Linked DNA regions of Mus musculus: all the other regions are reported to be linked to region 1. The links are microRNA targets in miRTarBase. Many come from high-throughput screens and were not tested one by one. Region 1 holds a microRNA gene; each other region holds the end of a gene's coding sequence. Distances are between the middles of the regions.

Region 1 (4,067 bases):
ACAATAACAACAACTTAGCATTTTAGAAGCAAAAGGTCTCATTCGTGTGGATTTTCATTAAAGAGTAAAAGAAAAGATCTAAAGCCACAGGAAACTGGAAAGACAAATCAATGGGGGAAATAAGCTCCTGGTGGTCAGGGTGAAGGTGCGTCCCAGCAACGCTGACTGAGCTTTTGCAAAGACAATGTTTGTGTGCTCTGCGTCCTAGTGGCCAGATGTCTTAGCCAATGGTGATGGGAACTGACTAGACCAATCCAGCAGGGCCAATCCAGAGGAGAGACTTGGCAGGAGACTTTGTGTTTTAAGGTGGCTCCTCCAGTGTGAATTTAGGGAAAATATTCAAAGGATCTGTGGCCACTCTCAGATGTTTGCTTTAAAGGGGGCACTTGTGGGGCTAGCAGGATGGCTCAGAATTAAAAGCACACACTGTTCCTACAGAAGACACTAATCTGGTTCCTAGCACCAGTATGATAGCTCAGCCCATCTGTAAATCTAGATAGACTGAGACTGACTCCCACCCACAGTCACCTAGCACACAAATGATGCACAGACATGTATGCAGGTAAAACAGCCATACACATGAAATAAAAATAAATACATCACATTAAAGGGAAAAAAGGGAGAGGAGAGAGAGAGAGAGAGAGGAGGGATGGTTGTCTCAAAAGAATTAAGACCATACTTAAACCACCCTTTACCTGTTTCCTAAGCTTATTCTGTCTTTCATTCTTTTCTGTTAATTGTATCGGGTGAGGGGCTAATGAGAGCTAGCTGTTACTAGCTGAGTGTGCTCTGCTGTCGTTTGGATGGGGTTTTCCCCATTGCAGCTCTGAGCAGAGCACCTGGTAGGCTCCTCGTCATATTTGCCCTAGCCAAGCAAGCCAGGAGCTCAAGGAAACACCTCTTAAGTGTTTCCCAGTTTGGAGGTTGCACACACATCCCATGTTTGGCTGCTATTATAGGCCAGAAGTTCCTAACACAGTTTGACTAAAATACATCCACTCTTTTCATTTGATGTAGATCTAACCTAACTTGTGCAAAAAATACTTATGCAAAGATACACAGTGATGGCAAATGAAATGCTTCTGTTGTTGTAGTTCTTCTTGTGCTCCTGCAGTACCAAATCTCGGCCACGAGCCACTTGTGAAATTCTGCCTTCTTCATTTCTAACCCTGTGAATAATGTCATTCATCCTGGAATGGAGTGATGGGTTACGGAAGGACAGATCAGCGTGACCTCTCTAGTGACTACAAGCCACTACAATTGTCCTCAGAGATGCCCGAGGTCCTCTGAGTCTCTGGAGCCCTTTTTATATATTAATACAATGACATCAAATGCTATTTTCGCTCTTGCCCCACAGTTGTACAGTGGAGTTTCCCAGAGGCTGCATGCCACAAGATGATGTCATCACTGCGGCTAATGGACATTGTGTTATGCATTAGTAATATTGTGCTTTAAAAAGTCCTTATTGTATTTAATGAAATCACATTTATTGGCACTATAATAAATGCTGGTAGACAATCCATCCAAACATACGGTTCTTGCACTCTTCAGTAGTATTAAGAATATAAAGCACACCTATAAGGCAGCTCAGAGGGTAAGGGTGCTTGCTGCCAAGCCTGACAACCTGAGATCAGTCTCTGGGCACTACTGGGTAAAGGAGAAAATTGACTCCTACGAGTTGTCCTATTATCTCCAGAGATGAGATATGGCATGCATGGGTACGTATGTGTGTGTGTGCACATATACTACACACACATACACACACACACACACACACACACACACACACTAAAGAGAAGGTAATAAGAATATAAAGGAGATTTTTAAAACTGTTTCAGGAGTAGAGGGGTCTTCCTAAGGTAGACTTTAGATAAATATGGTAGTGACTGCCTGTAATCTCAACACCCAGGATGTTAAGACAGGAGGACTGAGTTCAAGACCAGGCTAGACTAGAGACCCCTGTTTCAAGCATGGGAAGGAGTTAAAAATAAAGAATTTCACTAAATTCCTTCAGTTTTCTGCATGAAAATTTCTCAGCTCTTTTTTTTTTGCTCCACCCCACTGTTAAGCACTCTCTTGTGATATATACATTTAATACTTCAATAAAGTTTTATTTGCACCTATTGCAAACCCCACCTTACCCCCCAGATAGTAGTAAAGTCTACTAGTAGTATACCCATGTGGACTCAGCTGAGTAGAATCCAGATGCCACATTCTTCAGAAGGGTTTTCACAGCCCAGAGCAAAAAGTATCCAATTGTCTATTTTCTTCAAGGAATATACCGAGGCTTTCTGAAGCATTTATACTACCTAGTCACTTCGGATCCTACTCTGTTTCTCCAAATATGAATTTCATGTCAGCTTAAACCTAACATGGCTCTCAAACGCCAGTTTTCACCCACTACTTCCACTCATTAACATACTTGTGGTGAGCACCTAATAAAAAGAGAAATGGCAAACTCTAGTCACAAATATAAAACACAAAGCAAACTCGAGAAAAGTTTTTGTATATTTTTACAACTCGGGGAATTTTTCCTCACCCAAATCTAATTACCGGGAGCCTAGGAAGGAAAGTTCACATCATAATGTATGATGAGAAGCGTTTCCTCTAATTATACAAACATGATACAAATAGTTCTGTGCAAAGTGCTTCACTGGATAAATATTAGCATGCCATTATCATCGTTCACTGACTAATCTGGGCACTGGCACTTCTCTGCAGACTTCGTAAAAAACAAGGGAAGAGGAAACGAGGTCATGAGTGAGTCCTGCTGCACACAGGAGCACCCTATGTATCTCCATCTCAACTCTCTAATCAGATGAGAAGCATGCATGCTGCCCATGGCTTCTCGATGAAGATACTGATGCTCAGAAGAGGTCGGTACTTTGTTCAAGACTGAAAGAGAAAACTGAAGCTGGAGCCCATCCCATGCCTGTCTCTGTCTACTCTGGTGCCCGCTTTCCAGCAATCTTTTTTCTTAAGAACCCTCACCCGAGGAAGCATGTTCCAATACCAGTTGACCCAGAAATCAGAGTTGTGAAGGCTTCTTCTGGCGCTGTTTTGCAGCACTTGTGTGTTTTCAACAGGCATTCTTAGTGGACCAACAGAACAAACGATACTGCAGTTAGCAGTTGGCAGAGCACTGTGACAAATGATACACTCTTAAAAGAAATTAGAGAGCAGAATCTACAGTTAACATTGCTTTGTCTCGAGACCAGCTCCCCTGTACACCATTCTGATATGCAAAAGCCAAGCTGTGTATAATGTCCCTTGTATGTATATTTCCAGGGCTGTCCATTTGGTATTGGATAAGCAATTTCTCCTGTTCTCCGCATTTTGTAGGTCTTTGTGTAGGATGGAGGGCTTTCCACTGCCTACTTCAGCATGTCTAGTGTTGCCCTTGTTCAGCTCATGTTTAGATGTTATGGATATAGTTTCTAACTGAATAGGTTGTATTTATGTTTTTAGAGATATACCTACCTACCTACATACATACATACATTCCTAATATGTGTGTATGTGTGTAACAATAAATAATGATAAAAGAGGCGATGAGTTTGAAAGAGCACAAGGCATTGTGGGAGGGTTTGGAGGGAGGAAGGGGATAATGATGTAATTATATTATAATCTCAAAAAGAGGGTAATTTTTTTGAAATGCTTATATATATATATATATATATATATATATATATATATATATATATCCATGGGACATTCATGGGTCCAAGTCAAACTTCTGCACTCTGGGCTGTTGAGGAAGGGCAGGGTCTGCGACACCGACATGCATTTCTATGCCTAAACATAACTCCAGGTCAAATAATGGTAGGCATATCATTGTATATCTGTTATGACCAAACTGGAATTTTTGAAAAGTCTAGAAGGTGATGCATCAAAATGATGAGCCTCAAAAAATTAACTCTGGGCAGTATAATTTCCAACTACAAGATCTTTTTGTAATTGTCCTACTTGTTCCAAAATTATTAATATATAACATGGATAATTCATAAAAATGGAAATGACTGGACTCTATGTAACATATGGTTTTAATAATTTCACTGTCAGCCTGA
Region 2 (4,067 bases), not on the chromosome of region 1:
TTGTACATCAGACTGACCCCTCACAGAGCTCCTCCTGCCTCTGCCTTCTGAGTGCCACCCACATGGCTTTTGTTTGTTCTTTTTACATCATATGTAGTGTTTACTAAAATGCCTTTGTGTCAGAAATGATAGTCAAACCAGGACAGTGCTCCTGGGACAGGAGAGGTGTAAGTGGGAGGTGTAAGTGGTAAGAAAGTCACATCTTTATTTAGCTGGATAACATTGATTGGGAAGTAAGTCATTTATGTTAAAGGTTTTTCCTGGTAATTGCTTTTAGATTTGCTCCCTGAGACCAAACCCTCCGAGTCTTAGGCTCTCTCAGAGCTGATTCCCTTAGGCTGGTGCAGCATACAGGACCAGTAGAGTTCCCAGGTCAACCTTGATCACCTGTGTTTCTCTCTCGAAACTCATTGCAGATTGCCGTTTACATTTGTAACTAAAGAAGTAGCTGAAGCCACGTGTAATTGCCTTCTTGCCCAGGCAGAGCAGGCAGACAAGAAGGGGAAATCAAAGGCGGCAGCAGAGCGGATGATACTTGAGGAATTTGGACGATGTTTGATGAGCGTCATCAACTCTGCAGGAAAAGCCAAAAGTGACCCCTGTGCCATGCACTGCTAACTCTTGCACAAAAGACTGAATGGAACTGTACAGAAAATTTAAGGTGCCGGGACACTTGATTTTCTAGAAGATAGCTTAACAATTACTGTATTTTAATTCAGCCTTTGTTTTAAGAGATCTGAAACTATAATATTGAAAGAGAAGAAATTAGTACATTTAAAATCTTAGTTAATTCTGCCTATGCCCCTTCTAAATTTTTTTCTTTAAAAATTTTTCTTTTATGTATTATATATTTTTTTAATTTGCTTGGGTTTCTTAAGAATTAGATGTTCTGTCCTGATTCTATTGACAAAGAACATTCATAAATTATAGTGATATCATTTATAATGTATGGTGTTGTATGACTTTGTTCAGTAGAAAAGGCCAAAGTAGCATGGGTATTACCCATTCTTTGGTTACAGATCCAGAGTATTCACAGGTAGAATGTCCGCATAACCAGATTCTAAATGAAATATATTTAGGAGACATTTTGTTTAGAGAAACACCATCCTTAAAAAAAAAAAATCAGATTTTTAGAGTGGATTCTGGAATGCTGTCTGCTGTCTCGTTGGGAGTATCAGAAGGGGAAACAATCCCCACCACACTTTTCAGTATAATACAAACATTATGCTTTCTTTAAAGAAAGCAAAATATTAAGGGGCAGTAATTTTCAGAGGACAGGCTGTGTCTCTGATGAGGAATGGCTAACATGGTCTGGGGCGTCTTCATTTTCTCTGAAGGAGGTGGTATGTTTTATAATAATTGTCAAAGTGATTATGGCTAATTACTAAAATATGAGAATGAATTACATTAAACATTTTGTGTCATGATGACAGAACTCATACGCAGTAAGTCTGAAGTCTGGCTCGCTGGAGACGCGAGGACTCAGAGCTGGGAGGTTATGTGTGGTGGCGCTTTATGCACACACTTCTCTGCAGACCTTCTGGACTGAGTTCAGTCAGTGTGTGACTCCTACCTGGTTTACTGAGATAAACGCGCCTCCTAGCAGCTTCTAGAACTGCAGCCAGCTTTTTATAAAAGAAGTTTTAATACAACATTGTTTAAAACAGTGATTTGGTAAGCTGAAGTATGTGTGCTCTTAGACTCGCAAAAACAACCTCTATATTCTTCAGTAATTAGAAACCGTGTGAACTCGGGAGCCTACTATAATAGGACTTGAGTTTATGACAAGCAGAAAACTAGGTTGGAATTGAAACATTTTGTAAGGTACCTTAATCCTTGGTAATTATTAGCATATGATTATTGCCCTTCCTACAAGGACTCTAGCATTGTAAGTAGTAAGTATGTATATATGTTCATATGAACATGAAAGATATAGACAATAGAAATTAACCCCAAGAGGATTCCGTTACTCATTTAAGTATCCTCCATTTAAAATGGTTTTATAAGATGACAGTGCAGTAACTTTAAATGTAGATAATGCAGGCATCCTTAGCACCTCGGTCTAGAGTTTTTAAGTAAACTTTGTACAAATGTAAATTAGTCTAAGAGGACAAAATAATATCTAATCAAGTTATTTTTCAAAAGACTGCAATAAGTTTTTGGTCTAAACCTAAACTTTGTTCATTTTGTATATATTATGTGTTAATTCTAATAGCACCATTGTGATGTGTATTTATATACAGTGTGCACAAAATGTTTGTGAATTTTTTATTATAATTGTAGATTATGTATGATGGCATTGCTTAAGATTGTTTTGCTTGTAAGAATTTGAAGGTGCAATCAAAGCTACGAGTTTGGATTTTTAAGAAGCCTTTAACCTATCAGCCCCTTTCCTTCTGTGTGGTTCCAACTGAACAACTTTTTGTATTAGGCATTTGCATCAAATTGCTGAACAAAGTTAATAGCCACATTAAATCACCAATTTCAAAAGATTATTTGGGGAGGGTTTGGTCTATAATTTTTAAGCCCTATTTACATCCTAAGGTAGAAAGATTATATTTACTAGAGCTATTCAAAAAGTACACTTTTCTATATTGTAAAAGCAGGGCAGAAGAATAAATCATACAGAAAATAAACATTTATACTATTCTGTAAAAAAAAGTTTTGCATTTTTTCTTTAGTTTAACAATACCAGTTTTAACCATTTGCCATGCAGGGAGCCTTTTAAGTCACCTGATTTTCAAGTTCATTTGACTTCTGAAAAAATTTTAAAGATGACATTGCCAATTCCTTAATGTGAATTGCATTGAAATGAGACTATGTCTGCTTTTCCACTGCTAAGGCAGAAATGCCTCTACTTTCTTTTAGCTACATGAAGCACTCTCTCGCGACTGACTACTCTTAGTTCTTGTGGCTCTGAAGAGGTCAAAGCAGCCTGTGGTCTTATCTGTGAGAGGGAAGGGTAGGGTTGTAGGTACTCCCGTGAGCTTAGCCCTGGGTGAGGAAGGACGGTGGGCCGTGTAGCCTCACCGTCTTTTGATACTTCATAACTGAAACTGCAGTCTTATGTAAAATGTGAATAAAAATAGCTTCAGAAAGGTTTCCATTTTTGCTGTGTAATGCTGACTAGAAAGGAGGTCTCATTGGGTCATTGACGCTTACCTGCAACCTTCAGCTCCACCTCAGGGCAGATGGATCCCTTAAACATCCTGATGTGTTTTGGGTTGTGCAGATGAACTCTGGACCTTGGGTAGCCCAGCAAGCACTCTGTCCCTGCACTGCGGCCATAGCCCTGTCGTAAACACCTTACACAGTGTTTCTGGACCATCCACTCCAAGCCCCAGAACCAACTAGACTTTTCTATTGCAGTACTTCCTCTTCTTCCCCCTTCCCCCTCTTTTCCCCCTCCCCCTCTTTTTCCCCCTCCCCCTCTTCTTCCTCCCCTCCCCCTCTTCTTCCTCCTCTTCTTCCTCCTTTTAATTATTTCCCTTCTGTCGGGAACTGAGGCTAGGACTTCATGAATGCTGGTTAAGTGTTGTGCTGTTGAGCTCTGTCTCCCAGTCATAAAGTTGATTCCTATTATATAAAATATTTAAGCTCCATCTCCCAGTTCTTGTAACAGTTTCTTTAATACTTAATCTATAGATCAGATGTAAGGTTTTTGTTTGTGTATTTGGGTTTTCTTTCTTTTCTAGTTTCTGGACAGTGTCTTCCTAGGCTGGCCTCAAATTCCTGATAGTCCTCCTGCCTCAGTTTTCCATAGTGCTAGGGGGAATCATAGATATGTGCCAGTCACCTTTTTTGTGTGGTTTGGTACTTTTGAGGCATTGGCTCATGTAGCTTGGGTTGCCAGAGGAAAGGCTTCCTCTCTTCTACCTCCCATTCCATGACACGGGTGCCACCATACTCAGTGTCTTGTGGGCTGTAGTTCTGGGGCTTTTGTTTGTTTGCTTTTAGAGATTTATTTTTAATCTTGTGGCTAGGAGATAAGGGGAGAAATATGTGAATGAATCTGAACGTCACCTCCCCTCAACCCAGAGCTGCAAGGTCCCCTGCAGCTGAGGTTA
Region 3 (4,067 bases), 69 Mb from region 1:
ACACCACAACAGGAACTAGATTGGAGCTGAATTAGATTTGACAGCAAAGCCAGCCTCTTTTGTCTCAAGTTGTCTCTTTAAAAGTAAATGTGTTGGTTAGTGTTATTAACTTGAAAAAAAAAATTAGGACAACCAGAGCTATGAGTCTGAGCACATTTATGGGGAATTATCTTGAATATGTTAATTGGCATATGAAGACCCATCTTAAATGAGCAGGCCATTCCCTGGCCAGGGTATCCTGGACTGGATGAAGTGGGGGAAAGCATGCTGAACACAAATGTGCACTCGTAGGATGTGCTCAACAGCTTCAGTGTCCTGACGTGTTGGCTTCCCTGGCATAATGGACTGTCTTCCAGAACTGTGAGCCAGAAATAAACCTTCTCTCCCTTACATTGGTTTTGATGGGGTGTTTTGCCCCAACAGTGAGTGACTGTGAAAGACTGAGAGCCAGGAAGAGCCAGCAGCCACCCAGATGAACGAATCACTGTGTGTGCTTCTCTCTCTGCAGGACAGTGTGATGGTCCTTAGCGCAACCCATCGCTACAAGAAGAAGTATGTCACCACGCTGCTGTATAAGCCCATCTGAGGAAGGCGTCACGCCTTGCCCCCAAGGATTCTGGAGAAGCATCTCCCTTGCCTTTGAACTGAGCTGGCCTCCTCTGAGGCTGGCAGGCTGGTTTGTTTTGAGGCTGCTGTGTGTGTCAGAGCCTCTGATAGGATGCTCTGCTTTGCATTTGATTGCAGATGAGAGCTTTATGAGTTCACGGAGTTTATTTTAAGAAACACAAAACCATATATATGCATATGAGAGAAAGGTTACCGGAAGTCTCCTGGCCCCGCTGTACAGGTTCTCTCTGCCTGTGGGTGGTCGCCAGGGCCTGACTGGGAAGCAGTGGCCACAGGAATGGGCATCCCAGAAGCTTCTTTTTCTAAAGTGAGAGAATAGCAAACTCTTAGGATCTTTGTTGGGCAGAGGTTCTGGACCACTGGTGTCCAGGGGTGAGATGTGTGCCAGGCTGCTGCCCTCCTTAGAGCTGCCTCAGTGCAGGGTGGCTTTCCTTGCATGGACTGATTCTGTATTCCCACACTATGTGACACAATCTCCTGTGTGTTTATATGACACTAGATGCCCCACAAGAACCCTCTTCATTTTATGTACCCAATTTAATAAGTCCCCTCAGATCTCATACATGGCCCAGTAATGCAAAACTCACTGGGCAAGGGACCCTTCTGAAAAGTCTGTGTGATTAGACTCTCCTGAGAGACTAGAGGTGCCAGGGTCTCCTTTTTAGCTCAGCGAAGGCCTAACCCAGTGTGTTACAATTTATTTTAACATCTAGGGGAAAATGAAGCTCTTTTTGTTTCAGTTTGGTCCTGTATATTGGCTGTGTGAGCCTGTTTACGGTTTTTCTTTATCAGAGCATTCAGTTTGTAGATAGGTTTGGAATTAGGGAAAACTTCCGTATCTTTCATCCCTGAAAGATTTTTTTTTTATGTGCCTACATTTTTCTTTAATTAAAAAAAAAAAGCTTATCCATCCATGTTAACAGGCTGTTAAAGGACCTCAGGCTTTTGACAAATGGTTCTTAAGCTTTTCTTCTCTAGTCTAGGCAATTCTACAGTCTTGGGTTAATATGGCCAGCCATGTGTACCTCGCTACCCAAGCACAGCTCTAGACACAAGTTCATGCAGACTCACTGGATGCTCATGCAGGCTCACTGGGTGCTCATGCGAGGTTTCCCTACCATTAAAGATGTGTGAGGCAAGGAACTACCCTCGGTGTTCATAACCGTGCACAGTATTGCTCTTTGCACCAAATATTAACAAAGTATTTTTTTCTTTCGCCTCTTCCCTTTAAATGTGTTTGATGATGGAATGGGGTCACTGATAACCACTGACTGAGAAGTATTCCAACCTACTCAGGATTGAAAGGAAATATTTTTTCCAGTATCTTGACACTTCCATTTTACAGATAAATGTAAGTCAATCATTAGGCACTGTTTCTGGTTGAGAGCCTTCCTGTCTCCTGAGATGAGCCAGCCACATTGAAAGGGACCTGCTGGTCAGTTCACCTACCTCCTGGCTCTCCCACATGAGGGTGGCACAGCAAGTCCTCTGCACACCTCTGAGGCCTCTTATCACAAGGGTGAATAGGAAGATGGGGAGGTTTCTGTCCTGCAGGGAGTACAGATCGCTCAATGCCTTGGTACATGAGTCCTGGGAGATGCCGCTTCAGCCATCCCAAGCCACCTCCCTCAGCTGAGACTCTGTGGAGAACCCTCGTGGTCCAGTCAGCTTTCTGAATAGTGTTCCATTTTGAAAGCCAAGGCCTCATCTTGGTTTTTCATCAACTCTAAGGCCCTTCAGTTATGTCGAAAGGTTTTATTTATTTTTTCTGTTTTTCCTCAGTGCTGATTTAGAAGTGGGCCACCCAGGAGGATTCAAAAGCCTTGCTTGTTTCCCAGTAGGATTGTTGTATCTACACTTCCTGTTAACAGTCTAAGCTGGGATCATCTGTGTTTGTGCATTAAGTTTTGACCCCTCAAAGTTGTAGCTATGGAAGGGTGGGGAAAGCTGTCTTCAGTCTCTCACTCAGGCTGATGCTTCTCTGACGGGTGAGGCTGTGGTGATAGAGGGGTGGGTGCTGATGGCCTCATCTGGAAATGCAGGAGAGAGTTAGAAGGGCTGGCTGATAGCTCACCAGCACTGTCCCTGTCCTGGCCCCTGACCCTGGGGAATGCTGCCCCTGTCACCAGGAAACACTTGTAAAGAGACAGAGTGAGTACCGCTTTTCTTTAGTTACTTTAAGGGGCAGTGTGTTTTCTACAATAAAAAGTCGGACAGAATTAAGAAACAAATCAAGGCAAAACTATTTCTTTTTCTTTCCCACCTATGGGAATTTTGCAGGGTCAGTTGGTAGTAAAACGGCCCTTAAGGAGGCTAACACAACACCTGTAGTGTAGATCAGTGCCTGTGAGGCCAGGGAAGCAGCGAAGGAGCCCAAGGGAGATAGCAGGAACTGAAGGCTCAGGGAGCTTGGCACTGAAAATGTCCCCTTAAAGAGTTCAAGCAGACATCACCTGGTACAAACCACTTAGCAGCCCAGAAACTGTCTTCTTACCCTGTTCTCACCCTTTCCTCTGCGTTCTGTCTGACTTCACTTATCAGTAAGACAGGTTCACCAGAGTCTCAAGGAAAAAGACCTAGACAGTGTGAAGAGCTTTCACTCGAGCCATGGTTATTAGCCTCCTGTCAACCTAGACCTGAGTAGGATTCACACCTCTGAAGGGCTCAGCTAGCTTCTTCAAGAGCCCTGGCCTCTTGGGCCGGAAGTACAAAGGAAGAAAACCCGTTTCTGAGAGAAACCTTCGCCCAGCCGTCCCTGCTGGTTTTGGTTTTTTGTAGATCTAATGGATCTTTCATAAACCTTTTGAAAAGTGTCACTATTGCATGCATGCTGTTAAAGTGATGTGACGTGGAAGTGGGAACAGGGCCTTTAAATGTTTGACCTCAAAACAATATGCAATAGTCCCTGTGGGTGTGTGTGTGTGTGCACATATGTGTATGTGGTATTCCTTCTGTTCTCAGAGATACTTAGTCCTCATATTCTTGTGACCTGGGGCTTAAGAGCAGATAAATATTTTGTTGGTGTGTTATGACTAATCCTCAAAGCCAAGTTCTTGCTGTCTTCTGTCAGCGGCAGACTCCAGTTACTCATGAATATGAGACCAGGAAGAAATAAGGGTCTTTCAGGACTCTGGATCTAGGCATTTGTCTGTCCTTAAGTGACAATCACAACTGGAGATTGAAAGACTGATTTCTGCAGTGAACAAACATGTTTGGAGTAAAAAAAAAAAAAAAAAAGCCAATTGTTTTTTTCAATTATAGGAAAGGGAAGAAAAAAAATCACAAGTCTCTTGTAGGATCCACTGCCTCTAGGATTTTGAACTGGATCTGTCTCAGCTTGTTGTTCTTCTCAGCGGTACTTTGAAGAAGCAAGCTTCATTCAAAATAGAAATGTTTAGTACTTCCAGCATTAGGTGGAGTTGATTTGAATTAAGTGTGGC
Region 4 (4,067 bases), not on the chromosome of region 1:
GGAGTATTCACAGCGTGAGTCTAAAGACGAGGAGAGGGTTGTTCTGGGCCAGGCTGTCTCTTGTCTATGAGCTAGTTGTATCATGGGACTAGTGAAAGTCACCTAAGAGAGTGACTTAGGTAAAAGAGAAAGTGGGAAACCGTGAGATCTAATAAAATTTGAAAACTGAAGGGGTCCCAGGAGGGGTGAAAAAGGAGTGGGTGGGGAGGTGGCAAATTGAAAGAACTGGCTGGTATAGGCAAAAAGATGGAGGCTTATGACAGAGAAGGAAGGTCAGCGCATCTGAAGACACAGAGGCCCCAGTGTAGTACGGTGACACAGTATCACTTTAAATTTGGAACTGAGAAGTTAATTAGTATTTTCAATTACTGGGTCAAAATGTAGGAACACGGTTACTTGCATAGTAATTGCTTCCCAGTTTTCAGCTCAACTGGACCCTCACCAGCACTGGGTGGTTTACCATCCCAAGTGATGCTACATAAAATAGTTGCATTTTTGGGAAGTGATTAAAACCTCTTGTTTTACAAATGTCATTTCAGCTCATGGAGGAAAACGAATGTCTCAGGCAGAGACTAGCTCAAGCTAAAATGGAGCTCGCGGAGGCTCACTCGGCCAGAGATGAGCTTCTCCATCAAATGAAGAGGATGGGCCTGTAGCTGCCGTGGCCGTGAGAACCGGGGCTAGAGCGCTGGAGAAGGACGGCTAGGTTTAACAGAAGGATGTAACCAGTTAGTGGGAAGTTTTCCTTTACATGAAATAAAGCGAGTGGTGAAGTGGCGGCTGTTCCAAACCCTGTGGAGGAAACCTTGGGCGCAAGCGGTACAGTCATCTGGGTGGCCCCGTGAAGGCTGCGCACACTGTAACACAGTTACATGCCTAATGAGAAATGTCAGTTCCTAACTTCAGTGTCTCATCAAAAGCATTTTTTACAAGAAAAACGAAGACCTGTTGTGCTCATGCAGATTGCTGAATTTATTTCTCTGTTAATAATTTACTATTATTTACAAAAAAAAAAAAAAAAAGATACTTTTAGGGCTAATGTAAAAGAAAAGTAGGCTTACATTTTAGATGTTATTAAAATTATGTACTTAATCTATAATTATTTAATTGTTGTAAAAAGTCCAATCAGATTAATAAATTATATAATTACTGAGTTTACAAATGGAAAACTCTTGACCCTACCGAACTTGTGAAGCAACTTGAAAATGTGAAAGGAAAGTCACCTTAAGTGATGGGGAGGCTTCAGTGAGGCACTCGTGTAAAATCAAAGCACAAATACAGGGCACTGGGCAAGTGACTTAAAGCATTCCTGTACATTCCATTAAATGTGTGTCATTAGAAGTAAAAAGGCAAGTTATCTTGCGATATTTGGCGGTATTTGTAACTATAAAAATTTTAATTAATACTATTTTAATAATTCTTTATCTTTCCTCTTTAAGGAGAATGTTTTCAGAGAATTTGTTTTTCACACATGCAGAACAATTTCATACCATTCCTGTAGCATCATATTACACATGTGTTTGCTCATATGAATATATAAAGCCAGTTTTGATTAGATTTCTGTGATGTATGTCTGTGTGTGTATATATGTGTGTGTGCACACACATACACACACAGTCTTATATATGAGTCATTGGTAAATTTTGAAATCTATTTTCTATGGGATAAGGTTGAAAACACCATGAGAGAATCTTAATTATGAAATAAAGTACATGAGTATTTTAAGAAACAGGTTTTTGAAGACAGTATATTTCTGATAGAATTAAAGTAAGTGGTGTCTATTTTAAACTTCACATTCCTCAATAGAACTATATCCAGATAGGCCATGAGACAGCTGGACTGTTCTTTCTTTAAGGTACTTGGGAACCCTGGCCCTTGCTATGACACTCATGGTGCTTTGCATGTTGGCCGGAATTACAGCCATCCCTGTATCTGAGGACTTGGCAGAAATCACATCCTTCATTACATCACACGTTGGAGTGATTTAAATTTTATTGTGAACAGTATTTGCCTTCCTTCTCCTCACATCATTCTTTTCGGGTGACATCATTTGATAAAAACAGGCACTGTTTGGGAGCCAACATACAGCCAAGAACAAATTAAATCGTTACTATATTACCTCAGAGTATTTACAACACCATGTGAAAACTTTGTTACTCTAAGCTGTATGTAGCCTTAGATGAAGTATGGAGGTCTAATTAGAGTTTCAGAATGCACACCTTGCTAACCTTTGATGTCTGGTATGGATTCAGCAAGAGCAGTCTCACAGAGGAGGACGGATGGGACATGAACTTCTGAGCTGACGCTGTTTCTCAGGACTGACCTGTTCTACATAAACATACAAGTTTTCTATGGAACAATGTTAAACTGTTTAATGTTACTAGACACTGAATGTTTTCTTTATTCCTTTAAGATGTATTTGGCCTTCCCATGAAATCGTATAAACAACAGAGATGATAATATGCTGAGCATTCAATATACTTTGTCCGATTGGTTTTTCCTTTTTCTTTTTTCTTCATAAAAGTGCTGTTTTGATAGTGGTTTACGATTAAGGAAACATCTCCCAAAATATTGCCGTGTACCCCCACAAACACAGGAGGTGGGTGTGATTGGGGTGCTAGAAATTTGAGAGGAAAGAGACCTTTGATGCTCAAAATAAGTTGGCTAGAGCCACAATTAGTGATGTGGCTTTGATTTAAAGTGCATGATTATAGGTTTTATCTCAGCACGGTCATCCGTTTGCAGACTTTGTCAAGGCAGTGGTAAAGGGACGAGTCACTGTCTTACCTGTTTTTCTTTAAAGAGGACTTTTAATTTTTAAAGATTTCATTTTTACTTTTGATTGTGTATATGTGAGGGTGGGTTTGTGCATATGAGTATAGTGCCTGTGGAAGCCAGAAGGGGCTGGAGTTAGCAGGAAATTGTCAGCTTCCTGACAAGGGCACTGGGAATTGAATCTTCTGGAAGAGCAGTACACACTCCCCACTGACTCAGCTCATGTGTGTGTACGCGTGTGTGTGTATTGATGGAGGTGTCATTGTGTATTATACACACTAATTGAAAGATACTGGGACAGTTTTTGTTTCATTAAATTAATCTCATACTATTTAGTAGAATAAGAAAAAAAAAGAAATAAACCTACAGTAAACATAGCACGATTTTTTTAACTTTTTTTTCTTTTTTAATATTTTTATTAGATATTTTCCTCATTTACATTTCCAATGCTATCCCAAAAGTCCCCCATACCCTCCCCACCCCCTCCCACTTTTTGGCCCTGGCGTTCCCCTGTACGGGGGCATATAAAATTTGCATGGCCAATGGGCCTCTCTTTCCAGTGATGGCCGACTAGGCCATCTTTTGATACATATGCAGCTAGAGACAAGAGCTCCGGGGTACTGGTTAGTTCATATTGTTGTTCCACCTATAGGGTTGCAGTTCCCTTTAGCTCCTTGGGTACTTTCTCTAGCTCCTCCATTGGGGTTCCTGTGATCCATCCAATAGCTGACTGTGAGCATTCACTTCTGTGTTTGCTAGGCCCCGGCATAGTCTCACAAGAGACAGCTATATCAGGGTCCTTTCAGCAAAATCTTGCTAGTGTATGCAATGGTGTCATCGTTTGGAGGCTGATTATGGGATGGATCCCTGGATATGGCCGTCTCTAGATGGTCCATCCTTTTGTCTCAGCTCCAAACTTTGTCTCTGTAACTCCTTCCATGGGTGTTTTGTTCCCAATTCTAAGAAGGGGCAAAGTGTCCACACTTTGGTCTTCGTTCTTCTTGAGTTTCATGTGTTTTGCAAATTGTATCTTATATCTTGGGTATTCTAAGCTTCTGGGCTAGTATCCACTTATCAGTGAGAACATATCATTTGAGTTCTTTTGTGATTGGGTTACCTCACTCAGGATGATGCCCTCCAGGTCCAACCATTTGCCTAGGAAATTCATAAAAAATATGGAATGCTTCACGAATTTGCGTGTCATCCTTGCGTAGGGGCCATGCTAATCTTCTCTGTATTGTTCCAATTTTAGTATATGTGCTGCCGAAGCGAGCACCATAGCACGATTTTTA
Region 5 (4,067 bases), not on the chromosome of region 1:
TGGGTCCTGGGGATTCGCCTCAGGTTGCCAGGCCTGAAGCACCTTACCCACTGTGAGGCTTTGTATGTGCTTGGGCTAGGGAGTGGCACTATTAGAAGGTATGGCCTTGTTAGAGTAGGTGTGTCACTGTGGGTGTGAGCTTAAGACCCTCATCCTAGCTGCCTGGAAGTCAGTCTTCCTCCACTAGCAGCCTTCAGATGAAGATGTAGAACTCTCAGCTCTGCCTGTACCAAGCATGTCCAGATACTGCTCTGCTCCCACCCTGATGATACTGGACTGAGTCTCTGAACCTGTAAGCCACCCTCAATTAAATGTTGTCCTTATAAAAGCTGCCTTGGTCATGCTGTCTATTCACAGCAGTAAAACCCTAACTAAGACACTCACTGAGCCATGCCTCTGGCCCCCCTGCAGGCTTTACTGACAACGGTTTAGGAGAGAAATGCATAAACGACAAAGTTCAGCCTGGCTAGGGATTTTAAGGCTCAGACATTCGCTGTGGACTTACCTGCCCTTACCTATCTTGTTCCCTTTTGTCTTCTCTCCATCCTGAAAAGCCAGGCCACTTCCTGTTTGCTTTCTCTAGTTCGGGCACCTTCTAATGCTGCTCAGTTGACTCTATCTATGTGGACTTGTGGATGTACCTGGAAAACCAGCTTGATCAAGTATATGGTACACAGAATATTGAGGTGTCCATGGTCCACAGGCAAGGAATCCCAAGTGGCTTCCCGATGGAGCCGAGAGTCTCCCTGGTCTTCCTTTCCTGCTTCTGGCCTTCTCTGACATTCAGCTCTACCAATCACCTCAATAGTCTGGCTGGACTAAGCCAGAAATGGGCCAGTTAGACAGCATCTACAGAGCTGATGGAGTGTTTGCTCTGTGCTTCCTGATGAATTCTTTCTTGCCACTGTGCTGTGCCACTGTGGTGGGAGGATGGGGTTAACAACGTGAACTTAACCTGCCTTTCACGGGGTTTCTGCTGGAACTATGCTGAAACCTCTTCACTGGACCTCCAACAAAAGCGCAATCTATGAAGAGTCTTGAGAAACAGTGCTTCCGAGGTCAAGTCTCCACTGCCATGCTGACATCGCCCTCTGCAAATCTCTTTTTTAAAGTTTTTTGTTTGTTTGTTTTAAATCATACACACGTGTGCGGGCGTGTACATGAGTACAGTTGCCCAGGGAGGCCACAAGAGTGTGGTGGATCCCTGGGACAGTTGTGACCACGCCTGATGTGGATATTAGGAACAAAACTCAGGTCTTCTACAGGAGCAGTGCACACTCCTAACTGCTGAGCCCCTTTCCCAGCTTACTCTTACATTATTTTACATTTATTTTCTATTGAGTACTGATGACAGTGGGCTCCATTCTTCTATGGCTGTCTCTAAGACCATATGATCGCTTTCTAACTTCCCACACATATCAGACACCAGGATTTGTTTTTAAAGGACATATAAAATTAGCACTAAAAAAATAAATTTATTTTAAGTATGAAATAATGAAGAACAGGCACATAGAGAAATTATAAAAGTAGCAAAATAAGAACAGGAATGAAGACATTAGACATAGGTGCCATTCCAGTTGCTAACATAAACATTTTCAAAGATATTACTCCAACAATCTCAATAGACAAAAGCTATGTCACAACATTTACAGATGCAACAGCTTCTGAAACCATCTGATGAAGGCAGACACAGGTGATGATAATTACTACTTCTATACCCATGACATAGAATTTTATCAAATTCTTATCTGATGTATTACCCATACATCCACTTAAAATACTGAGAACATCATCGATTCATTTTGCATTATTACGTCAGACTTTATCCCTTTTCTAAACAATAAAAAACAAAACAAGAATATACTTTTCAGACATTAAGTATTCCAACTTTTATCTGTAATTTGTTCAAAGCTTCAGGAAGTAACATGTATATGGTCTTGTAAACAACACTGTCAATTTAGAAACAGAAACAGCTGGGGGAGACAGTGCATTTTTGGTCATTTGTAACCTGTGACAGAAAAACTAAAAGAAGTTGCTGATGATACAGATTCTACCTGAACTATTACAGACTGACTAAGGAGTTAAAAACAGAGCTGAAGTTCTCTGCCTCTACATAACCAATCACAATTGTTTACTCGAACTAGATTACTTCCTTCCTCCTTCCTTCCTCCTTTTTGGTTTTTCAAGACAGGGTGTAGGTGTGTTCCACCACTGCCCAGATTGCAGTTAGATTTCTAAATTCCTGTGGTACCATGATTTGGCCTACTTCGTGATGAATGACAATATTTTAAAAAGATCATTTAGATCAGTGTGAATGCATTATTTCATGGATCAGGAAAATGTTGCCGGAGAGGGTAAATGATGTGTCCAGAGTTACCAAGGCAGAACATGCCCAGGACACAAAACCAGAATTCCTGATCCTGAGTGATACTAAGTTCTTTCAGTACATTTTTCCAATGTCAAGTTCCACATAATTTATAGTAATCTGATGAAACAGAATATAATATCAAGATAAGTCAATGCATATTTTGCCTAAATCAAAGTTGCATTTGCTTCAACCATATTCATTACATGATTACTTTTTCTGTGTGCATTTTATATTATGTAAATTTTTTGTAAAATTTTCAAAATCACACTATGTAAATATTATGATTGATCAAATGTCATGAATGTAAGCTTAAGAGTCAAAACATCAAAGACATTTAATTCTCACTGTAAACAAGACACAGTGGTAGGCACTGTGAAAATACACTTGGTCCCACTCGCCTTGTCCTGAGTGTGTACGAGATAGTGTCCACAGAGTACTGACTACACACACGGTGTGGTGCAGCAGAACCTGCTCCCAGCGTTCACAGGACATGTGCAAGGGCTGGTAGTCCTTAAAAACAGTGGTCAGACAGAGGAATGATCCTGGAAAGACAGCAGCTAGTATTTCAAGGACTCTCCACAGAATGGAGACACATGGGCTCTCTGAAGTTATCACAGACTTCCTTATCTTGGGCATCTTCGAGGCAAAATTAGATGTGATGTAAGAAATCACGAGCTAGCCCGTAACACAGATGATGAAAGTTTCTTTTAAGAGAGTGAAAATGGACAAAGGGCATAAAACTACTACAAGTTGTAGTACATTAATGTTTACCTGTATGAAGGCAGCACAAAGAAGATCTCAGATGATCTGTGTGTGTCTCAGCTACCTAGCTAACCAGAGTATAATGGACTTAATCTGTGCATAAAACCATTTTGTTGGTTTGTTTGTTTGTTTGTTTGTTTTTGTGGGACAGAACATGTCACAATACACAGGTGTGTAAGAGATGGGAATCTAACCCCAGCCCTGTCCGAGTGGGTCAGTGCTTCTCATGGGACTCTGCATTCACACTGTGACTCTAACCGTGACCCTGACATGGTCAGTACAGTCAGGTGACAACTGACTGGGAATGTACCAGATGTGTTTATGTGTGAATTGCACACTCTTATATGTCTTACAGGAACTAGACACCCATAAAAAAACAAAGCATCCTGAAAAAAAATGTCAATAATGTTACTTTCAGGTACACACTACACAACTGAGACTAGACAGGTTTACATGAATGGGAGTGCTAACACGAGGACATTGTAAGCACAATCGCTGATTAACACAAAACAAAATATTCAGAACTCATCCAATAATTTTCAAGTGCCTCACACCTCACACAGCTGCCCAAAGACGAAGCCACATGCCCATGTTGAGGGGCAGCCACACCGGCTTCTTCAGAGTGAAGATTCCGACTGTATAGACACCATCACTTTGGGTTTTGGATCTACCCGACTATCAACTGGTACCTGAAAAAAACAACTGACACTCAGGAGATGCAGCACACCCGAATTTCGCTACCTCACCGTCCATTGTTGACTGGCTATAAATGTTACTGATTAAACAAGAATGCTTTCCCATTTATCCCATCTACTCAGAGTACAGCCATAAAAGTATCTTACTTACAGCTTTAACGTCAATGTTTGTAAGCCCGGTGTTTATATTGTGCCTTCTCAGATCAGACTTGATCAACGCTAAAACAGAATTACCGAGAGTT
Region 6 (4,067 bases), not on the chromosome of region 1:
CACCTGTAATAGTCTCCATCACACTCCCATCTTTTTCACAGGCTTCAAGAGTCACCCAAGCTGAGCCAGGCTAATGGGACCAGAGACATCATTCTGGCCCCAGAGAGCTGCGAAGGAAGCCCTAGCTCTGCCCACAGCAAGCGAGCTGGTGAGAGGGCACAGGGGTGGGGCAGGCAGGCATTGAGGGTACCTGAGGGAGAGGGGTTAAGACGTAAGCTCAGGTTCCACTGAGCCAGGGCTGGAGGGCGCCTGTGTGTGCACATGCGTGTCCTGTGTGCTCTGTCGTTAGTACCTGGTCTCTAGGTGCACAGTAGATACTGAGCAGCACTTCTTCCAACAGATACCATGGAACCACCCGAGGCCGCTCTCTCGCCTGTGTCCATTGATTCAGCTGCTAGTGGGGATACCATGCTGGACACAACAGGGGATGTCACCGTGGAATATGTGAAGGATTTTCTGGGGTGAGGCCAGCTGCTCTCCCAAGCCGCCATCCCCAGGGCAACTAGGGGTCTTCTTACCCCAGCCCTTCTGATTACTGCCCTCCCCAGCTCTCCTGAGGACTCTGAGAAGAACCTGCGGAACCTGGAGGCAGATGATGCTTGTCGGGCCTACACCCTTCTGATTAAATGAGGTGCTGTGGGGCAGCCTGGCCTTACCACACAGCAGCTGCCATCCCTCACTCCAGCTGGAACCCTGCAGGCTTCTCTAATGGTGTCATTCCTCGAAGCCTAGCTGCCTTCCTCTGGCTGTCAGGCATAGGGGATCCACAGTCATGAAAGGGCCTGGCCTGGCAGCACTGAAATCCTGTGCATTTAGAAGGCCACCTCTGACCCTGTGGGTGTAGGAGTTGATGCTTATCCAGTCCACAGAGCCCATTTCACAGGAGAGTCACTGAGGCTGATAGGTCCTGCCTATTGAGCCAGCACATGGACCTTATGTGCCCCTACCGTATCTTGCTATGGACCCAGCCTAGCTGGAGACTGGAGCTCTCTGGACCTTAGTAGCTAGTGCCTCTGCAGCCTACATTGGGCATAGATAACTAACCATACCCTCTTCTACTTGGTACCCTCCTAGCTCCCCAGCAAGCCCATCTTGGGCCATCACTGAAAGGGGCTGCCTACCCCGCAGGCAGGCATGACCTGGGTTTGCTCCCCTTAGTCGTCACCATCTGTCGGTCTTGCCTTGCCCCTTAACACGGACCCGCTGACTGATGCTGGGCCCTGAACACATCCCAGCCTCAAGCTCAGCCGGAGGGGTGCGAGCATCCTTTTGCACTCCATACTGTACTTCCTTTCTCCTCAAGCAGAGTATTTTTCTAACGCCTGGACTGAGCTGGCCAGTCATTTCTAAAGCAGTTTTGGTACTTGCTCCTGGCCTGTGTGTATTGTGTGCTCCTGTGACTAGAGACTGCTGGGCGTCATGACTGAAGTCAGTCAGAGGTGTGTGTGTGCGTGTGTGTGCACGTGTGTGTGCGGCAGTGAGGATGGGCTTCCCTGTAGATGCCACCTTCGGCTTTTCTGTCTTTTTTTAAAAACTAGTTGTTTTAATATTAAAAGTACTGATTTTTTAATATTGAAAATAAAAGCATTTAATATCTTTTAAACTACATCTGCACACATGTGGACACACTGGTGGGGCTTGGGGCTGTGTGCTGCTTGCAGGCTGTGGCTAGCTGAAGCAGGTACGAGGAGTCCTCCTCTTCCTCACTGGAGTCTGAGGTCATAGGTACTGCTTAGGCTGGGGCTTGGCGGAACGTGCTCCAGGCGTGGAAGCAGCGGGTGAAGGCGCGCTGCTCATTACCTTTGCGGACCAGGCGCAGGCGACGTGGCCGCTCATGTTCTTTAGAGCGTGTGTGCTGGATGTATACCTGGTAAGAAAAACAATGGGCCTGGGTAGTCCTCTAAGGCCTGCTGGACTGACCACTGTGCCCCTTCCTCAACGTCTATCCAGGATGAGGGAGGGACAAGTGGCTCCTGAAACCGTCAGGCTGGCTTCAGTAATCTCTTACCTGGCAAGCCTTCAGACTCAGTTTGATCTCCACTTGGCTTGTCTGGGTCCCAACCCACATGTAGACCTGAGGATACAGAGGATGAAATGGTCACATGGGTTTCTTGGCCCTTTTGATGTTTATAGTGCTTTTAAAAAAAAACTGAGCCCAGGCTGGGCAGTGGTGGCGCACGCCTTTAATCCCAGCACTTGGGAGGCAGAGACAGGCGGATTTCTGAGTTCGAGGCCAGCCTGGTCTACAAAGTGAATTCCAGGACAGCCAATACTATACAGAGAAACCTTGTCTCTGAAAAAAAAAAAACAACTGAGCCCAGGGCCTTTGTATATGATGCTCAGTGCTCCACATGTGGCTGGTGGGAAGGCTGCCCCTGGCCCCAGTATTCCCAGCTATAGCGTCTCATCTTAATCCAGAAGGCAGGCTCTGAGGTGGGAGAATGTCTCACTTCTTGGCCATTGTCTAGCAGCATGATGTCATCGTCTGCCAGGTCATCTTGGCAAAAGTCAGAGCATTTCTCAGTCACTGCGAAGTAACCCTTCTCATTGGAGCACCTGTCGGGCAACAGCCAAGGTGAAGGGCAAGGTTAGAAGGATCCACCTGAAGAGCCCTGTGTGCTTCATGTACTTTGTGTCATTGTCATAGGCCTTGTGTGTCCCCGTGTGTGCACAGAAGCTAGGGGAGGGATGAGGGGTACTCACCTGAAGAGCCTCGTGTGCTTCATGTACTCCGCATCGTCATCATAGGGTTTCTGTGCACCAATGCCTACCCAGAAGAAGTTCTCTGGCTCCTCGCCTTCATTGATGACCTGTGAGAAGGGCTGGTCAGCCAGGGCCCTCATCTGCTCTTCCCTTCCTGCCTGCCCCCACCTCTGTCACCTGTTTGCTGTAGGATGCATCAAACATAGTGTTCAGGATGTCCTCTGCCAGCTTGGCTTCGTCGGGGTCTGATGCCCGACCTACCCAGGCATACACAATGCCTTGGTTGTCCTCGCTTTCAAAGGGGACCTGGGTATGCACAAGTGCTTGGGTCAGCTTGATTCTTGCCCACCACCCTGCTCTGCTGTCCTGCCCACAGCCTCACCTTGAGGATGAAGCAGAACTCAGAGTTGAGAAGGCTGGAGTCAGTGTTAATCTGGATGCACCTGGGGAGGGGGTGGTGGTGTCAGCAGTGTTACCTCCACCATGGAATCCTGTCCCCTCCCCAAGCCAGGTACCCACCGGGTGCAGAGGGCACTGCCGTTGGTGCGGATCTGATAGAGGGTCGGCTGAAGAGTACCCTGGGTCACCTTCCTCTTGCCTCGGTGAATGATGAACTTTCTTTTGAAATGGGATAGGAACTTGGGGTTCTCCTGCTGCTGTGTCATACGTACTACCTGGAGATCAGAAGTGCTGGGTAGTTCCCTAGACCCTGCCTCCAAGGGCCAAGCTCCCTCAGGCCTGGTTTGATCATACTACCATCCCAAGCACAGGCCATGGGGCACAGTTCAGGGCTTGTGTGAATACACACCTCCAGCTTGCCAGGGAAGAGGCTCTCAAACTTCTTCTGAAGACTGAATGTGAAGGTCAGCCAGCCCATGTTGGAGGCCTCCCGGCCCTGCCAGAAGTAAACGATGCACTGAAAGTCCTCCTCTGGCTGCTTCTCCTCTGCCTCCGCTGCTGCTTCCTCCCCTTCTCTGGCCTCTGCCGAGGCCTTCCCCTCCTTGTCTTCTGTCTTCTCTTCCTCCTCGTACTCCACAGGTACCCAGTACCTGCGATTCAAACAGTGGTGAGCAAGGGTTGCACAGGGAAAAGAACAAGAGGCTGAGGTTTTGCTCTGGCACCTGCAGAGGAAGACATAGCAGTCCTGTGTGTAGAAGTGGCCAAACTCCTCCTCTGGCAGTCGAGTGAACTTGCGGCCCTCCAGCACGAAGCCCTCCATGCCATCCAGGTCCTCATTCCACTCCTCCATCAGCTGCTCTGCCTGTTAGCCGTCATCAAGGAGATGTGAGCACCATGCTGTGCAGAGCCCCTCCCTCTCATGTCCCCCCCGCCTCCCCTCCCCCTCCGCACACACACAGAGGCCT
Region 7 (4,067 bases), not on the chromosome of region 1:
TGAGAGCTGGCAAGGCCCACAGGAAGCTCACACTTGAAGCTTAGCAGACAGATGTTTGGTCGAGTACCCTGTGTTAATGTAAGATCAGAGCCTCACCACAGGACTTTCCAGACCCTGAATAGTGTGGTGGGCTTCATGACACCTCCACAACCAGGTCAAGGGCTTATTCCAAACTCAAGGGACTGTAGGCCATGGGGTCTGGGAACTGCCAACCAGATGCAGGGCGAGGCCTGAGAGCCACCTGAGGGTTATGGGTACCAGTTTAAGCAGAGGTAATTATCAAGTCATGAAAATTAAAATATGCACCCCTCCACCTGCAGACTGGTTCACTGGCAGGACACAGGTTTATGATTTCATTACCAGGCACCACCTGCAGGGAAACTCTTGCAGAACACACAATGCTGTCTGTCATCTGCGTGGCAGGACTGATGACACTCTCCTCCTTAGATGGGGTATTTACCTAGGGTGTAAACCACCAGGTTCACACCCAGCCACACATCCCAATGTACTCCCATCACTCTCCTGCCTGTATGGCATTCAACTGACCACTCAGCCTCAGATGGGACACACCCTATTCTCTCTACATTCCTCTCCTCTGCTGTGTGCTTTAAGGCTTGGCTGGTGAGCAAGGTGAGATCCAGGGGCCCTAACTTGCTGTGTAACTGTCAGAAAGCCCTGTTTCCCTTTTGTGGGATGGGGCTGTTGAGCTGGATCAAGGTCTGGAGCTCTGAGCTGCTGTGGACGTACAAAAAGAACAGGACACTCCCAACTGCCATTAAAAGACACCGAGAAGACATCAGACCAGGACCTGGATTTTTTTTTTTTAATTAGACTAGGAAATATAATTTATTTCATAAAAATTAATCTTGTTACAAGAGGAATGCTAAAGACTATTTACAAGTTATTTACAGAATGGACGAACAGGGCCGGGACCGTCCCCTGCATATCAGAACCCACAGACACACAGCCATGTCCACACCCCGGCACCTGAGCTCCCACCCACTTGACCTCTGAGGGTGGGAGGAAGGTGCTGTCTCGGATGCCTGGGAGCCTCAAGATGGGGGACCAGAGAGCCCTGAAAGATCCAGGGATAAGAAGGGTCCCTGTCCCTCAAGGGGTATGGCCAGAACTCAGACACCTGGCCCCATTGAGAAGAGCAGAGAGGCACATAGGAGATACACCAACTGACTGTGACTCGGGGACAGCAAACAGGCACGCCCACCTCCAGTGGCACAAACCTGGGCACAGAGGTCATGTCCACATGTGGGGATAGGTGTGCGTGTTCTGGGAGGGGTGCCCTGATGTGCCAAGTTGAAAAGCACAGGCATGCACACACACACACACACACACACACACACACACACACACACACACACACACATGCTCCCAAACACACATACTACCCAAGATGACACAGAAATACCCTGCAGGACCCAGCAACGCCAAGCTGGCTAGGAATGGGAAGGGGAGAGGCTTCATCTCATTGGAGGCAGGAATGGAAACCCAACCCAACAGCCCTGTCTGGCTCAGCTCAGAGTTGGCTTGACCTTACCTGGGCTGTCTGGTTAGAGCCCTACCCCAGGCTCCAGCTCTAGCTTCTGTGCCCCAGATGCTGAGCACCTTCTAAGTAAGAGTCGGACTGTAAGCTGGGACTTGCTCACTAAGTGCTCCCTCAGGTCCCAGACAGGCAGGTTTCCGAGGACGGGCAAAGGAGAGAGCATGCAGACCACAATCAACTTGTCTCTACTCGATTCTCAGAGAAGCGTGGGAACCCAAGGGGCCTCGTGGAGCATCCCAGGATAAAAGGACACTTAAGCCCAGAGAAAGCAGTTATGTGCCTGAAGTCACACAGCACAGCTCCACCTTGGCTTCCCCCTTCTATGTGCGGGCTAACAGTGACCAGTGAGAGTATGCCCACAGGGATGAGCATCTTTGGCAGGAGGAGCTGAGGACTACTCTATGAGGCACTGTTCACCTAGATGCCAGGGGCACCTTGGTCTGTCTCAGAGCCCCACTTCAGGAAAACCAGGGCAGAGATGCTTGCTGGGTCTGTGGCCATGAAACCTGCCTCCTCACAGAGGCCCCAACTTTCAAAGCTTTCAGGCTGGTCAAGGGCAGTTCAGGGAAGTCAGCATCTCAATAGGATCAATACCAGTGATCCTAGTCCCTGTCACTGCCCGTGGGCTGAAAGGGACAAGAATTCATCCCTTCCACTGGCCCCATGGAACATCCCAGAATGCGCTGTGGTCAAGAGTGGGTATACAGCTGTCTACTTAGTTACCTTCATATCTCCTGACCCCAGTAGGGAGATCAGCGGGTAAAATGATGGCTAGAGGCACAGGGGTGCAGACCGGCTAGTGCCAGCTTAGACACAGAGCCACCCAGCCTCACCCAGGGAGAGAGCCCTCCCTGGAACACCCCCTCCCTCTCAGTAAGAGTTTTGGCCATCACGAGACCAGGAATCACCAAACAGACCTGAACAGTCTCCCAGAACCACAGCTGGACCCTCCAAAGCCAGAGGAGGCCACAGAAGGGCACCTGCAGGGGGCTCCGGAGAGGACGAAGGCCACCAGGCCCCAGCTTCTGCTTGTGACTTTAGAACTCAGGGCCATGGCTAAAACCCTGTCTCAGCTCCCTGCACAGCTGGGGAAACTGAGGCCTTGACATAGCAAAGCCTTTCCCTGTGCAGTCTCTTATTGACCACACCCACACACACATGTGTCCACAAGTGCACTCGCCTATGGCCCAAATCACAAGCATAGCCACTCTTAGCCACATTCAAGGATAAAAGGTTTTTTTTTTCCTTTTCTTACTTTTTTTTGTTTGTTTTGTTTTCTTAAAAAGGAACTATCCAAGTATCTGGATAATAAATCATTTGCGTTCCCTAAGAAACTGGGTCTTTCTTTGCCCTTACTGTTTTTGCTCTCTCACTACCTGAGTCTCGCTGACTTCTGAGGCTCATCCCCCACCCCCCACCCCCACTCCCCTAATCTTCCCTCTCTGCTTGTGGACAGGAAAAAGCAGTTTGCCTGAACTGAACTCGACCCGGGATAAGAGAGCGGTCCCTAGCCCAGGACCATGTGAACACAGAATTGAAACCTGTGGGTCCCCAAAGTCACAGGGCTGAGGGTGGTGTGTTGTCGCAGGGGAAAGCCTCTGGCTTTCAGCTGTCCCAGAGGCCTCAGCCCACCCCAGAGTGAGCTGGGGAAACAGTGGGCCAGAGGATCCCGGCCTCTTGGCAGTAGAGCACAGAGACTTTCTAAGGCTGGTGGTGGTGGTCTGAGGGTTGTGGCGGGGAGGGAGTTGAAGGACCATTCCTGCTGTGAGCCAGGAGTGGTGGAGGCTGGGCACCCCTGTGCAGAGGCTGCCAGGCCTCCTTGCACCGTCTCCTACTGATCCCCACAGGCCTGTGGTCACAGGCACTCAGCAATCGCCATCTGTGGCCATGGCTACCAGCATCTCACTCTTGCCCATCTCCTCCAAGGCACTGGCCAGGCTGTTGAGGTCCCCGTCATCCTGTTGCCGAGCTTCCCAGAGGTCTAAGATGACACCTGTGGGACTAGCTTTGGTGGCGAAGTAGTTTAGGTACCTGTTGGAAGGAAACAGAAATGTTGGCACCCCTGAGGTGACCAGCCCATGAATTGGGAAGACCCGGGTGATGGGAAGACTGTGGGCTCCAGAGTCCCGCAGCCTTGAGTCTTGATTCCTGGGTTCCCCAGTTGTAGACTTTGCAGCCCTAGGCAAGTCCATGTATGCTAAGACTCATCCCTTGGTCCTCTTGATCTCCTACTAGCGTGGTTTAGAGGTGGGGCTGAGCAAGCTCCTGCAACTTGAACCTCTGCCTTCATCAACAGATAAACCCATGGAGGAACTCAGAGTCTGTATGAGGGCTGGCAAGATGGTTCTGTGGGTAGTGTAGACTTGAGTTCAAATCCCTGCAGCCAACATGAAAACCATACGTCTATAAATCCACTGTTCCTTGAGCACGCCATTTCAGGGAGCTGGGAAGCACAGACAGGGGAAGTCCCTGTAAGCTCCTGGGCTAGCTTACCTGACACTCAGGGCAA

Evidence for each region. The annotated mature microRNA mmu-miR-466q reads GUGCACACACACACAUACGU and lies in region 1 at 1,721-1,740, opposite strand. An mRNA with a match to its seed (bases 2 to 7 or 8) in the 3' UTR can be bound and repressed. Matches are read on the target gene's strand: a 7mer-m8 pairs with bases 2 to 8, a 7mer-A1 pairs with bases 2 to 7 and ends in A, and an 8mer does both.
Region 2: the mRNA of Lin54 is a reported target of mmu-miR-466q. Seed matches in the 3' UTR shown: 7mer-m8 at 2,243-2,249.
Region 3: the mRNA of Prkab2 is a reported target of mmu-miR-466q. Seed matches in the 3' UTR shown: 7mer-m8 at 3,549-3,555.
Region 4: the mRNA of Uhrf1bp1l is a reported target of mmu-miR-466q. Seed matches in the 3' UTR shown: 7mer-m8 at 1,594-1,600.
Region 5: the mRNA of Flvcr1 is a reported target of mmu-miR-466q. Seed matches in the 3' UTR shown: 8mer at 3,461-3,468.
Region 6: miRTarBase lists Llgl1 as a target of mmu-miR-466q. Seed matches in the 3' UTR shown: 7mer-m8 at 1,456-1,462.
Region 7: the mRNA of Unc5b is a reported target of mmu-miR-466q. Seed matches in the 3' UTR shown: 7mer-m8 at 1,328-1,334.

The regions. Positions count from the first base shown.
Region 1 is chr3:28,417,661-28,421,727 of GRCm38, reverse strand. It overlaps Mir466q (microRNA 466q), which reads right to left and starts at 1,785; the gene lies at 1,710-1,785. All of the region lies in intron 2 of Tnik (TRAF2 and NCK interacting kinase), which reads right to left.
Region 2 is chr5:100,440,627-100,444,693 of GRCm38, reverse strand. Lin54 (lin-54 homolog (C. elegans)) reads left to right here. Exons shown (of 13, transcript NM_172714.4): 13 at 417-2,661. The coding sequence ends at 618. Among named protein-coding and RNA genes, the nearest start is that of 5430416N02Rik, 13 kb to the right of the region's middle.
Region 3 is chr3:97,669,220-97,673,286 of GRCm38, forward strand. Prkab2 (protein kinase, AMP-activated, beta 2 non-catalytic subunit) reads left to right here. Exons shown (of 8, transcript NM_182997.2): 8 at 509-3,864. The coding sequence ends at 586. Among named protein-coding and RNA genes, the nearest start is that of Gm31242, 9.3 kb to the right of the region's middle.
Region 4 is chr10:89,817,396-89,821,462 of GRCm38, forward strand. Uhrf1bp1l (UHRF1 (ICBP90) binding protein 1-like) reads left to right here. Exons shown (of 21, transcript NM_029166.2): 21 at 540-2,474. The coding sequence ends at 656. It overlaps Gm26180 (a small nuclear RNA gene), which reads right to left and starts at 4,051; the gene lies at 3,945-4,051.
Region 5 is chr1:191,004,392-191,008,458 of GRCm38, forward strand. It overlaps Flvcr1 (feline leukemia virus subgroup C cellular receptor 1), which reads right to left. Exons shown (of 10, transcript NM_001081259.1): 9 at 3,977-4,044; 10 at 1,441-3,819. The coding sequence ends at 3,748. Among named protein-coding and RNA genes, the nearest start is that of Gm31373, 14 kb to the left of the region's middle.
Region 6 is chr11:60,712,581-60,716,647 of GRCm38, forward strand. Llgl1 (LLGL1 scribble cell polarity complex component) reads left to right here. Exons shown (of 21, transcript NM_001159404.2): 20 at 42-148; 21 at 341-1,606. The coding sequence ends at 465. It overlaps Flii (flightless I actin binding protein), which reads right to left. Exons shown (of 30, transcript NM_022009.2): 22 at 3,825-3,964; 23 at 3,512-3,752; 24 at 3,223-3,377; 25 at 3,086-3,146; 26 at 2,881-3,009; 27 at 2,704-2,810; 28 at 2,451-2,556; 29 at 2,009-2,074; 30 at 1,563-1,867. The coding sequence ends at 1,733. Among named protein-coding and RNA genes, the nearest start is that of Flii, 13 kb to the right of the region's middle.
Region 7 is chr10:60,761,785-60,765,851 of GRCm38, forward strand. It overlaps Unc5b (unc-5 netrin receptor B), which reads right to left. Exons shown (of 17, transcript NM_029770.3): 17 at 810-3,589. The coding sequence ends at 3,424. Among named protein-coding and RNA genes, the nearest start is that of Slc29a3, 11 kb to the left of the region's middle.